4 linked regions of the Caenorhabditis elegans genome follow. The protein of the gene in region 4 interacts with the protein of the main gene of each other region in a pairwise test. Each region holds a gene or a part of one and is shown on either strand. Other genes may lie near its edges.

Region 1 (3,678 bases), on a different chromosome or scaffold from region 4:
GCGTTACAATTAGTTCTGTAGCCATGTAATTACAGATCAATTGGGTATCACTTTCAAAACAGCACAGTAGCTGAAACTTCAAAATAAAAAAAAATGTCAGCTCGGTTCATACTTGCAAAGCTTTTTTTAGTTGTATGAAAATGACTTTTCATTGTAATACTAGATATACTGAAATGAACATCAAAATATCTCGAACAACCCCAGAACACAATAACCAAAAAATTCAGAATGTTAAAATTCGTCAATGTCTGTGAATCAGCCTGAGAACTTGTACAATTTATGTGGATCATTACCCAGACGCGAAACTTTGAGGTTTTTGGGTACTTTGAGGGTAGAACTACAGTTCCCGGTCTCGACACGACAGTGTTTAAAAAATATTTGAACTTCCAACTTCTCGTAGCTGCGGAGTTTTCATAGTTGCAAATAATGATAAAAACTATTTAAAAAATCATTGAAAATATCGCAGCAATGAGAGTTTGAATTTGCAGTACTCTTGAAATTTCACATCTGTATAATATTGTAAAATGATATATCAAAAGAAGCAAACAATTGTTGAAACATTATTTTTTAGAGTATCACTCTAGACTAAACCTGTTTCAATTTCTTGACAGCACAATCCAGCACATATTCACTTGTTGGATCAACCATTCTTGCAAGAAAAACCTCTCCGAAGGCTCCAGATCCGATTTTTCGATACAAGATCACGTCCTCGTGTGGAATAATCCATGTTGCTCGGAGGACTGGTTTACGAAGATACACATTCCACTGAACGCATACTGGTTGCGCACGAGCACTGAAATATCTTACATAATTTAATTAATCATTAAATTAAAAAAAAAAAGAATAAACGTACAGATGGACATCAATCAAATCTAAAACAGTGTTTTCCTTGAGTGTTGGCATAAAATAAAACTGTTTTGCACCTTCTTTGTCTTGACTTATTGGAACATGAACAAATCCAGCTTCTCTTTTTACAGAAATTATCAGAAATTGTCCACCCGCATTTTCACGTGGTTCCGCTCTTCTCAGGAGATAATCACCTACGTAACGAAGTGACAACTCAGCATCGACACGTGGAATTATTCCATGGTAGAATTGACAGCCTTTAATCTAAACAAGAAATAAATGTTGATGTCTAGAAAAAAAATCCAAAAAAACCTCTGGAGTAATTTGAACGACTGGAACATCAACCATAGGCTCTTTCGGCTTCTCTTCTGGCGGTGGAGGTGTTCCAGGTGGATTTGCAGATTCTTTTGATCCTTCTCTTGATCCTCCAGTTGTTATTCCATTTCCAGGTAATACTTCTCTTACAACAACATCTTTTGATTGTTCTGTGTTTGGTGCTTTCATTGAAATTGCCTTCGTTGACATCTCCATTTTTCGATTTTTGATTCTGTTTTCTTTTGTTTGGCAGTTGAATCAATATTGTAAACCTTTTGAAAAGTTGAAAATAAATTGATTTTTGACTCAATTATCAGGTATTTTTGAACAAATTTATTTGTTTCTTTTCTTTTAAATTGGGGTTACGTTAATATTTAAATTTGTTTCTTTTCTATTTCCGAGTAAAACGTTTATTTTAAGTTTAATAAATGGAAAACCTATCATAATTACAATTTCAAACCAAAATGCTGTTTCCTACAAGTTTTATATCTTTGTTATGATTTAGTTATTTTATTTAAATATTTTATTCCCCAAAAACAATCAATATACCAAGACTGAAAAATTTCAAAAATCTAAAGAGATTTTGAGTATTTACTCTATTAGGCCATGTTTATAAGTTAGGTAACTGAAATTTTAAGCAAAAGACGCAATCCAATTTCGCTTTTTGGAAGGTCAAATTTTGTTTGACAAGTTTCGCAAATAAACTCGTAAAAATTTTCCAATTTAAAATATTTTCTCGAACTTAAACTCTATATTTATACGTAACATGTCCCCAAGACCTTATTTTTTATGTCCAAGTATTTCAGTATAAAACGTCCAATTCTCGCCACTCTCAATCAAATTTCGCAAGAAATCGAATCAATCGCCTTTTGAATCGGCAAAGCAGCAAAGAAGAAAAGGAACAGAAGAATGGGTTCCGAGAAGATGATCGAGATTTGTATCGACATGGAGGAAGGAGAACCACTTGGTGCAACTCCAAATGACAAGCTCGTTATCACTAAGATTCAGGCTGGAACCATTTCTGAAGGAAAATTGAGAGTGAGTTTTTGAAATGTTCAAATCTTTTTTATACAGAATGATTTACAGATTGGTGACCAAGTTAAAAAAGTGAACGGACAAAATTGCAAGGATTGTAACGACTTTTTCCGTGCGCTTCGCTTTGCTGCTCCATGTGCAAAAATCACGGTGAACCGTGACGAAAAAAAGGCTGAAGAGTTAGAAGCTCGTGTTCATATTCCTGAGGATCGTGCAAAGATCATTCAACGCCGTGAGGGATACGTTTATGAGTTGGCAACCCTTGTCTGGGTTCAAAATGGACCAAAACTTGGTTTGGGAATCAAGCATTTCCAGGTAAGAAATTAAAAGATTGGAGGAAGTTCATATGTCTATTTTAGAACCGTGTGCTTGTTTCACGTGTTGATCCTGGATCACTAGCCGAGAAGTGTCTTGTTCTTGGAGATCATTTGTGTGATGTTGATGGAATTCCAGTCAGTGACAAGGATGTTGCCAGAGATCTTCTCGTCAAGAATATCCAAGAGAAAGGAAAAGTCACTTTTGTCGTCGAGCGCCCTGATTCGATCGATGCCAAGCAATGGGCGAAACAGGCGTTGGCTACCAATCTCATGCAACCACCATCAGTCCAAATGAACGAAGATGTGAAAGGCATTGCTTCGCAATATCGTCAAGCTCTTCCAGGACTGAAGCCTCCAGCGAAGAGTGCAATGTCTACCGGTCCAAATGCTCGCCGTGTTTCTATCATCGAGCAAACTCAAACTCACGAGATCGGACATGATCATGAAGGAAAAGCTCTTCGCAAGGTCAAGTGATGATAAGAATTCAGCAAGATGTCATGAATAGCACTGTCTAGATTGAATAAAAATGTTTTGATATTTGTTTTGTAAGGTTTATGAATCAAAGTTCTCCTGAAGTGTTATGTGCCCATTGGAGTCATCTTAACTTTTTAGAGACAAAACTTCTTATAAACTTTTTATACTTTGTATGTTGTTTCCTTGGACTATTACTGGCTTCCTTTTAATTGAAACTGGGTAAATTTACCAGCTACCACAATTTTAGAATTGTTACAATTTAGAATTGATTTTCGAAACGAAGGCAATGATAGGGGTATTGCTCCTTTGTAGAACATATTTGGTGTATGTTCTAAGGAGAGATACTTTTTTTTACTTTTTCAAAAATCACGGTAGCCGTTTTGTTGCAAATTTTGAGTTCTTTCAGATTTCAAAAAATCTACCAATTGTGTTCTAACAACTAAAACTTTTAAACTTTATCTAAAAAAAATAGAGGGCCCGGGCCTCGGGGATGGAGGTAATTTATAAATTTCTGAAGATGGAAGAACCTGCAAAACACGGATATAACAGTGACTAAGAAAACGATGATATGTAATTGGAAGTTTAAATATGACGGTAAAATGAATTCAACATTGAATCAATGAAAGAAAACAATTTATTTTTGAGAAATCTAATTTTTATTCTCTCCCAAATTATTCAAGTAGTCATCAAA
Region 2 (2,927 bases), on a different chromosome or scaffold from region 4:
GAAATTTATTTATATTATTGACATGTCTATTCTTCTTTTTTTTCTCAAAGTGGTCCTTTGATCTGTTTCTCAAAACTCTGCTCCAAAAATCATCACTTTTTCGTGTTACAAATAAAATAATATACTTTTATTATTTATTGGGTTTTTACGAGTTTTTTATGTTGATTTTAAGTGTAGAATTTTCATAACGCGAATACATTATTTTAAAGGAGCATAGGCGCTGGTGATCGCTGGGTCTCGCAACGAATACAGTACCCCTCAGAGTTACCTTGCGCGGCCTCGTTTTGTGTTTAGTTTTATATTTCCATTTTCAATCTTTCTTTTTTCTTCTTTTCTTTCAAATCAATAAGAAAAATAGTTAATTTGCACAACTTGAAAGTTTTCTATTTGAATTCTCTGTATACAGATATTCAGTAACGCCCAAAAATTCTTTGAATTCCAGATGTCGTTGAGTCGCTTGTCATCTCCTCAGACATTCTCTCGCGTTTTTATCGTTGCGCGTGGAGCTGCAACAGGACGTGAGTTTATTTAAATGCATTTTCTCATATATAATTTTTTGTTTCAGATGCTGTCGCCCCATCATCAGATAACAGCATCGGGTATTTTGAGAAGATTGCTTATAGATTCAAAGGTAAGCATTATATTGTTTTTTTTTGTTATAGTTCTTTTACAGGAATCCCACTGCCGACGGAGACTGAAGCTCCAAAGTCCATGTTCGATGCCTGCAATAAAGAATGGTCCGCTCCTGAACTCCTTCCATCCGTTCCAAAAGATTTCAAAGAGCACCCAGATCGGGATTTGACCAATTATCCATACCCGTCTCGTCCAATGTACCCACCAAAGACTCGTCTCTTGATGATGCCCGATTCGTGGTTTACCGCATTCCAAAAGGTTACTGGTACCTCTGGTCCATATCTTTTCTTCGGAGGACTCTTTGCTTTCCTCGTTAACAAGGAGTTGTGGGTGTTTGAGGAGCAAGGACATATGACTGTTGGATGGATTCTTTTCTATCTTTTGGTTTCCAGAACCGCCGGCTGTTAGTGACTGAACATTTAAAAATAACTTTTTTTTTCTTTTAGATAAAATCGATGCTGGTCTTTACAAGGACTATCAGGAACGCGTTGGTTTCTTCAAAGGACTTATTCAAGAAGATTTGAAGGAAGCTGTTGATTTCCGCAAAACCTCTGCCGCTCAAACCGCTTCATTTGCTGCTCTCAAGGAAGGCATGCCAACTTCTCTCAAGGATTCCATGCAGCTACAGCTGGAGGCCGCTTATAGGTGAGCTAAACAATAAAACGCGCTCTATCGCAGTTTTTTTGAAAAAAAAACCGCGAATTTTGTTACTTGAATATAATCTCCTAATCTCCTTTTTATTCTGTATTTTAAAATTATTTTTCAGAAAGAATGTTCAAACCATTTCCAATGAGATCAAGCGTCGCATCGAGTATTTGAAAGAGACCGAGGAGACAAAGGCCAGATTTGAGCGCGACCAATTGCTGAAGTTGATCAATGACAGTGTCGAGAAGCAAGTCTCCCAGAAAGACTTCCAGGAAAAATTCCTTCAAAACGCCATTCAACAACTCAAGGGTATTGCTGTCTGAAGATCTCTCTTTCACCTTTTTCAGTGTTTTTGTCGTTTGTTAAATTATTCTCGCACACAACATAAAACCAGTGATGATAATAGTGGCGTTGTTTTCTTTCTCATAAAATTTTGAATTTTCAATCGTGTTATTGTGATTATCGAACAGGTTTCAACCTTATTTATCAATCCTACCTATATAATGATTTCGTCGTACGAGCCAGAATCTAATTGTCAATATAAAATATCACATTTGATAGAAATGGAGCAACAAATTCAAATGGACGAACAGGAAAATGATGAATCACAGGGAAACGATGATCAACAAAATATGTCGATGAGCAGTTCTGAACTTCATACTGTAAGACATATAAGAAATAATTCGTATCATATTTCGGTTTTCAGATGCAGGATGATCATCCAGGGATTCTATTAAAAACCAACACTCGGATGAGCATTACCGTCAAAAAGTTACATGTTAGTTTGTCAAAAAAAATTGAAGTTTCAAAAACTTGACATTTTTCAGGTTTGTGGAGAGTGGAAGTGGTTACAAGGAGGTGAAGATACCTGTGGAATTTGTCGAATGGAATTTGAATCGGCGTGCAACATGTGCAAGTTTCCAGGAGATGATTGCCCATTGGTTCTGGGAATTTGTCGCCATGCTTTTCATCGTCATTGCATCGATAAGTGGATTGCAGCACCAACTAACCAACCAAGAGCTCAATGCCCGCTTTGCAGACAAGACTGGACAATTGTAGAGTAATCTACGTTTTTATCTTGTGTTTCCATTTTTTCATGTCAAATGATACTCAGTTTTCCTCATTTGTATTTTAAATTAACAAGAACGAAGACTTTTTAAATTGAAATATTCATAGTGAGAAATTCATCAGAAAGTATAAAAATATCGCAATTGAAATCGAATTGTAAATTGAGCAAGAATCATTGAAAAGGAAGAAGAAATAAAAGACCGGCGAGCACATGAAGATCAGAGCGAGATGAGAATAATATTTCCAATGTAATCAATACCCAACAATGACTTTCTCTCCACCTTCCGGATGCTGACAACGACCACGCATCATCTCGTAGACTTGTTGTTTGATCCATGCACGTGTACGACCAATGTATTGCCCGGTTTCCTGAAAATGAATTGATTTGGGAGGATATGCAGATCAATAATACATACGCGATTGAAGATCATCATAGAAACATCGGAGAGCTTATCGAGAAACTCGTAGACTTGCGACACGTCGTATGTGACTGGAGCAGCTGATTTCTTGGAAAGGAAATCTTCAAACATCTTGCAAAGAGCTGAAAAATTCCATTAAACATAATAATTCTCACGGAATGG
Region 3 (2,440 bases), on a different chromosome or scaffold from region 4:
CCCTCTAGTCACCATGTCGGAACTCCACGTGGATCCATTCGAGCGAATCAAGTCCGTCGGGTCAGTGATGCCACATCAAGAACTCGCCATTGTCGATGAATTTGGAGTCCCCGTGCCAACTGGAGCTAAAGGAGAGCTCTGGTCTCGTGGCTACTCGACTATGCTCGGCTACTGGGCCGACCACGACAAGACCAACTTGGCAATTACACGTGATCGCTGGTACAAATCTGGAGATACCGCCACGATGAACGAGGATGGAACTATCAATATTGTCGGTAGAACTCGTGACATGATTGTGAAGGGTGGTGAGAACGTCTATCCGACCGAAATCGAGCAGTTCTTGCATAAGTTGGACTATGTCGCTGATGCTCATGTAAGTTTGGGAGCTTCTATCTTTGCTCTTGGGGGTCCAATCAAAAAGTTTATTAAAATATCAAAAAGTTTATTAAAATAATCTACAGAAAATTCTCTACATTTACTCAGTTGGCAACTTTTTGATACTTGTAACAACTGGCGAGTTATTCTCGTTTAAATCAAGGGCACCATGACTACTTATGGCCTGAACTTCAAACTTATGGCCTAACTTTTCAACAAAAAAATTCCAGGTCGTCGGTGTGCCAGATGACAGGTACGGAGAGAACATCTGCGCCTGGGTGCGTCTTCGCGTTGAGGATGAAGGAAAGATCACCGCGGAGCACATTAAGAAGGCTTGTAAGAGAGGAGTAAGTTATTAATCCATTATTTTAAAATATACAGTCGAAATTTCCAGATGGCTCACTACAAGGTTCCAAAGTACGTGCTCATCAAAAAGGAGTCCGAATTCCCTCTCACAATTTCCGGAAAAGTCAAGAAATTCGAAATCCAAAAGATTTCCAAAGAGCTGTTGGGTCTCGGAACTGTCAAGTCTCACTTCACAGAAGCTGTCGACAATTAAAATCGGGTTGAACATATTTCCTATATTTTAAGTTGCCTTTTCGCTGGGATTTCCTTGCTTTTTACGGTCTAACCGCTATAATTGTAATAGTGACATATTTAACCGGGTTTTTATGTACTCTTCCGTGTATTTGCCATGTATTTAATTGTGAGACTTGTACAGAAATTGCGATTTTCTCTGAATAAATAGCTTTAAAATTCAAAATTCCCTCCAAAAGTGTACAACGACACTCCGAAATGACGCATAGTCGCCTTGCTTACCGTAAATCGACACACATTTTTTTAAAATCGAAAACATTTTTTTGTTGGATTTTCTTCGTTTTCCCTCGATTTTCTTGGAATTTTGTGAGTTTTTATTGTTAAAATATTTTAAAATTGCATTAATGGTATTGTTTTAACTGTATTTTTCATATGATTTTCGATTATTCCAGCAAAATTCTTGTAGAAACGACTTTTCATCAAAATTTTCTAAAATCGATTGGAAATTAACACGAATTTTACTGAAAATGAAATTTATGTGCAAATTACCGGTGAATTCAGCGAGAAAACATCAAAAATTCTGGAAAAATAGGCTTTGAAAAAATTTTTGTGAGGAAAAATTTTAAAAAAACTTGATAAATATCATCTTTTCCCCTCATTTTTCCTGTTTTTCAGCAATTCCTCTCAAATTTTACCCGATTTTCTTTCCAGAAACCATGGCAACCTCAACATCCACCAACCCAAACACACTTCTCCCACTGGAGCTCATTGACAAGTGCATCGGCTCGAAAATCTGGGTGATAATGAAGAACGACAAGGAGATCGTCGGCACTCTGACAGGCTTCGATGACTACGTGAACATGGTTCTGGAGGACGTCGTCGAATACGAGAACACCGCCGACGGCAAGCGAATGACCAAGTTGGACACGATTCTTCTCAACGGAAATCACATCACGATGCTCGTGCCGGGAGGAGAAGGACCAGAGATTTAATTGATATCTGTGAATATTGTGATTTTCTAATACTTTCTATTTTGCCACGAATCTCTCCGATTTTGAAATAAAAATTGAAGGAAATTTTGGAAAATTTTATAACAGGAACAAAACAGAATGAAGAAGCAAAAAGAAAACAATTTTTTTTAAATCTGTTTTTTCAGCATTTTTCTCTTTTTTTTCTTATCACTTAACAAGTACTTGTACATCTTGCAGGTCTTGTAGGATCATATTCAGCACGTGTTGAGAATAGATAGCAGCTTTCTGATGCTCTAAAAAGGCTTAATTGTTCAGATCGTCCCTGGAAATAATTTTTCGAATTCTGCTCGAGCTGAAAATACAAAAATAATCGCAGAATCGCCCAAAATACGTGAAAAAGTGAAAATACTTATCGTGTTTGATAGCAACCTTAATTTGTCCTGTTAAATGACAAAATTCTTAAGTTGAACTGTATTTATTTTAAGTTTTCTGCCAATTTTTTCCAAAAAATCAAAAAAGTTTCCCGATAGTACTGTATTTCCCAGAATACGTAAATG
Region 4 (3,083 bases):
ATATGGACAAATTAAATATTATTAACTTTAAAAAGACTTTTAATTTTATTATTTTCCTTATTTTCTTCTTCACTTCCTTGCAACGCACTCTTTAAGTCATTCTGGAAATTTGTTTTGTTGAACTCGATCTCGAATTTAAGCAGTTCAATCATTTCGTTTTTCTGAAATTATAGTTTTAAAATTTAATTCCATGTAAGAAATCCGAACCTCTTTAATAATCTTTCTGGCTTGTACCAAATCATCAACCAACTCATTTGCATCTTCCTCCGCAAATTCCAATGATTCCAGTTTTTGGCTCAATTCCTTTATCACCTCGTTTCGCTCTTTCAGTTTTCTCTGAAGTCCACCAATTTTTGCCACAAAATCTCTTTGATGCATTCGAATTTTGATTAAATGATTGCTGATTTTACTTCTCTCTATTTTCATCTCCTTCTGGTGCTCTTTAATCATTTCCTCACTAGACTCGCACATTAATTTTAGTTGGTAATGAGCCTGCAAACGTTGTATATAAAAAAGAATGTCAAGATGCCTGCCTACATGCCTGCCTACCACCTAGCTCTATACATTTTGGCATGCATTCAGGAATTTAGTGAACCTCTAGAAAGTAAAACTGGGAAAATTTCCAAAGAAAATTTAGTTAATTTTCACCAAATTTTCGAAAGTTTTTTTTTTTAAAGTCAAACATTTTCCAATAAAATATTTCGCATTTTTTTCAAAAAAAACACATTTTCCCAAAAAAAATTCGATCCGTTCTACTGTCTATTTTAAAATTTAATAAATCTTCTCAGCTTTAAACACCTCTTAATTTTTTATGAGGGGCTCCAATAAATAGCTTGAGGGGAACACGATTATTGGAATTTACTTTTGAAATTGAGAAATTTTCAGACTCTCGAGAATTTCATTGATAATGCTAATAAAATATTCAAAAATATAAAAAAAAACAACAAAATTTACCTTTGCCTTTTCCTCAACTATTTGCAACATTAACAGAGCTACAGTAACCGCGTACAGTAACCCGAATAGAATCGGGAAATTATCCATTGAAAGTGTCATATTCCCGTCTTGAAAGATATTAGTTAACCACGACATTATAAAATAAAAAGATTGTCTTATAAGATAAGTAACAAACGAATGAATGAGCCGGTCGTCTTAGTCAACGGGTCAAGTGTTTCAGCCGCGTTCGTGAATCAATAAGAGCTGGAATTGCCTCCTGGCATTAGTGACTGTAGTCCACACTTTCTACTGCCTAAATTATCCATACAGGGCAATGTGATCAATTGATCAATAGGTTATTAAATATAACTATTTTATGCAGTGCAGTGTTTCATCCTTTTGGGAAAATTCACGGAATCAACAGGTGAATTTATGTTTTTTAGGGTGTGAACACAAATTGTTAATGTTATAATTGTCCTGGAGAGCCTTTAAACATTTTACAATTAATATATTATAAATAATACGTAGAAAATCAGTATTTGAACAGGAAAGTAGACATTTTAAAAATTTGAAATTTGAAAAACCGCCACAAACTCAAGCAACGACACTCCGAGATTACGAATCGCGCGTTGTTTACCGTAAATTTACACTAATTTTTGTTCTCTGAAATTTTTTTTTAATTGAAAAGCCGTCCATTTATTTATCTTTTTTTGTCAAATCCTTGTGTTTTACGTGGATGTTTGCATTTGTTTTTTATTTATTTAATTTCGAATCACTCAACTTTTTATTGATTTCTGTTCCTCAGGTGATGGCTGCGCGTAAGCTGATCGCACGTATCAACCCAACGAACAGTGCTCTTTTCGTCTGTGATCTTCAAGAGAAGTTCGCGTAAGTTTTGAAAGAAACTAGTTTATGAGCAAAAATAATTTATTTAATTATTTTCAGGTCAAATATCAAATACTTCCCAGAAATCATTACAACTTCGCGTAGATTGATCGATGCTGCCAGAATCCTGAGTATTCCAACCATTGTTACTGAACAATATCCAAAGGGTCTCGGACACACAGTTCCAACTCTCAAAGAAGGTCTCGCCGAGAATACTCCGATCTTTGATAAGACGAAAGTAGATTTTCAGATTTTTGTTCATAATTCAGTCTTATTCCAAAAATTTCAGTTTTCCATGTGCATTCCTCCAACTGAAGACACTTTGAAGAAAGTTCAAAATGTGATCCTTGTCGGAATCGAAGCACACGTATGCGTTCTTCAAACTACATACGATCTTTTGGAACGTGGCTTGAACGTTCATGTCGTGGTGGACGCTGTCAGCAGCCGCAGTCACACTGATCGTCATTTCGCTTTCAAACAGATGGAACAAGCTGGAGCTATCTTGACAACTTCTGAAGCTACCATTCTCGGACTTGTCGGTGGATCGGATCATCCAAAGTTCAAGGAAGTTCAGAAGTTGATCCTTACTTCAGCCCCTGATACTGGCCTCGTCCCGTTGTCGAAGCTCTAAATGTTTTCCGTTTACGGCTTCTTTTTTTGCCATGTAGATTTGTGTTTAGTACCTCACTATGTGTAATTACAGCATTTAACCGGTTTTCGTCCCATAAATTATGGTGGTAATTTGAGTCTTTTTGCAAAACGTTTCTTTCATCGCATCTCCTTGCCACCGTTTGACCATCACATCATGTTTCAAAAGTGTGGGTAAACATTCCGAAATTCGCGGAAACGAAATGCGCTTTGAAAATTTCAAGTGGCTCACACAGTAGAGCCCGCTAGTCCATTGACCTCCAATGTTTGTAGTTTGCGAAAATGATGGTGACGATGGTGCAAAGAAAACTTTCAGTTTTTTTTTTCAGAAAAGTCAGGTTTGTACAACACACATGCCACCACGTGGCAATGAAAAAGGCAGAGGCAACAAATAAATTGGAAGCAGAGACAATAAAATGGGTGGGTGATCTGATCTGTTGTGACGAACAAAATGATGATGATTGGATTCGCGAGCTGTTGATGAAATATGCAGAAATGAATCGAGAAAAAGAGAAGAAAAATACCCAAATATTCAAACAGACAGACGAAAAAAATGTTTTCCTGATTCGAGGAACGTGTTTTCTAAGTGGAACGACGGCAAAATATGGGTTGGTCAG

The links.
Region 1: the proteins of marb-1 (region 4) and smz-2 interact in a two-hybrid assay, tested with the Caenorhabditis elegans proteins (one large-scale study listed by BioGRID).
Region 2: the proteins of marb-1 (region 4) and apc-11 interact in a two-hybrid assay, tested with the Caenorhabditis elegans proteins (2 studies listed by BioGRID).
Region 3: the proteins of marb-1 (region 4) and lsm-5 interact in a two-hybrid assay, tested with the Caenorhabditis elegans proteins (one large-scale study listed by BioGRID).

The regions. Positions count from the first base shown.
Region 1 is NC_003279.8:6,872,077-6,875,754, reverse strand, and holds smz-2 (PDZ domain-containing protein), read left to right. Parts: upstream 1-1,997; 5' UTR 1,998-2,070; coding exon 2,071-2,199; intron 2,200-2,247; coding exon 2,248-2,511; intron 2,512-2,555; coding exon 2,556-2,987; 3' UTR 2,988-3,148; downstream 3,149-3,678. Other genes in the region: T21G5.1 (Tyrosine-protein kinase), read right to left, coding at 592-793, 854-1,110, 1,159-1,377; T21G5.12 (Lipoprotein), read right to left, coding at 3,637-3,678.
Region 2 is NC_003281.10:4,593,337-4,596,263, reverse strand, and holds apc-11 (Anaphase-promoting complex subunit 11), read left to right. Parts: upstream 1-1,839; 5' UTR 1,840-1,841; coding exon 1,842-1,940; intron 1,941-1,984; coding exon 1,985-2,056; intron 2,057-2,105; coding exon 2,106-2,342; 3' UTR 2,343-2,401; downstream 2,402-2,927. Other genes in the region: asb-1 (ATP synthase F(0) complex subunit B1, mitochondrial), read left to right, coding at 443-518, 566-631, 674-1,036, 1,080-1,278, 1,400-1,601; erh-2 (Enhancer of rudimentary homolog 2), read right to left, coding at 2,599-2,715, 2,763-2,887.
Region 3 is NC_003283.11:15,568,752-15,571,191, forward strand, and holds lsm-5 (U6 snRNA-associated Sm-like protein LSm5), read left to right. Parts: upstream 1-1,628; coding exon 1,629-1,904; downstream 1,905-2,440. Other genes in the region: acs-2 (Medium-chain acyl-CoA ligase ACSF2, mitochondrial), read left to right, coding at 1-373, 606-722, 770-934.
Region 4 is NC_003282.8:12,207,666-12,210,748, reverse strand, and holds marb-1 (Isochorismatase domain-containing protein 1), read left to right. Parts: upstream 1-1,738; 5' UTR 1,739-1,741; coding exon 1,742-1,821; intron 1,822-1,878; coding exon 1,879-2,056; intron 2,057-2,107; coding exon 2,108-2,449; 3' UTR 2,450-2,561; downstream 2,562-3,083. Other genes in the region: F35G2.3 (uncharacterized protein), read right to left, coding at 12-161, 208-492, 955-1,041.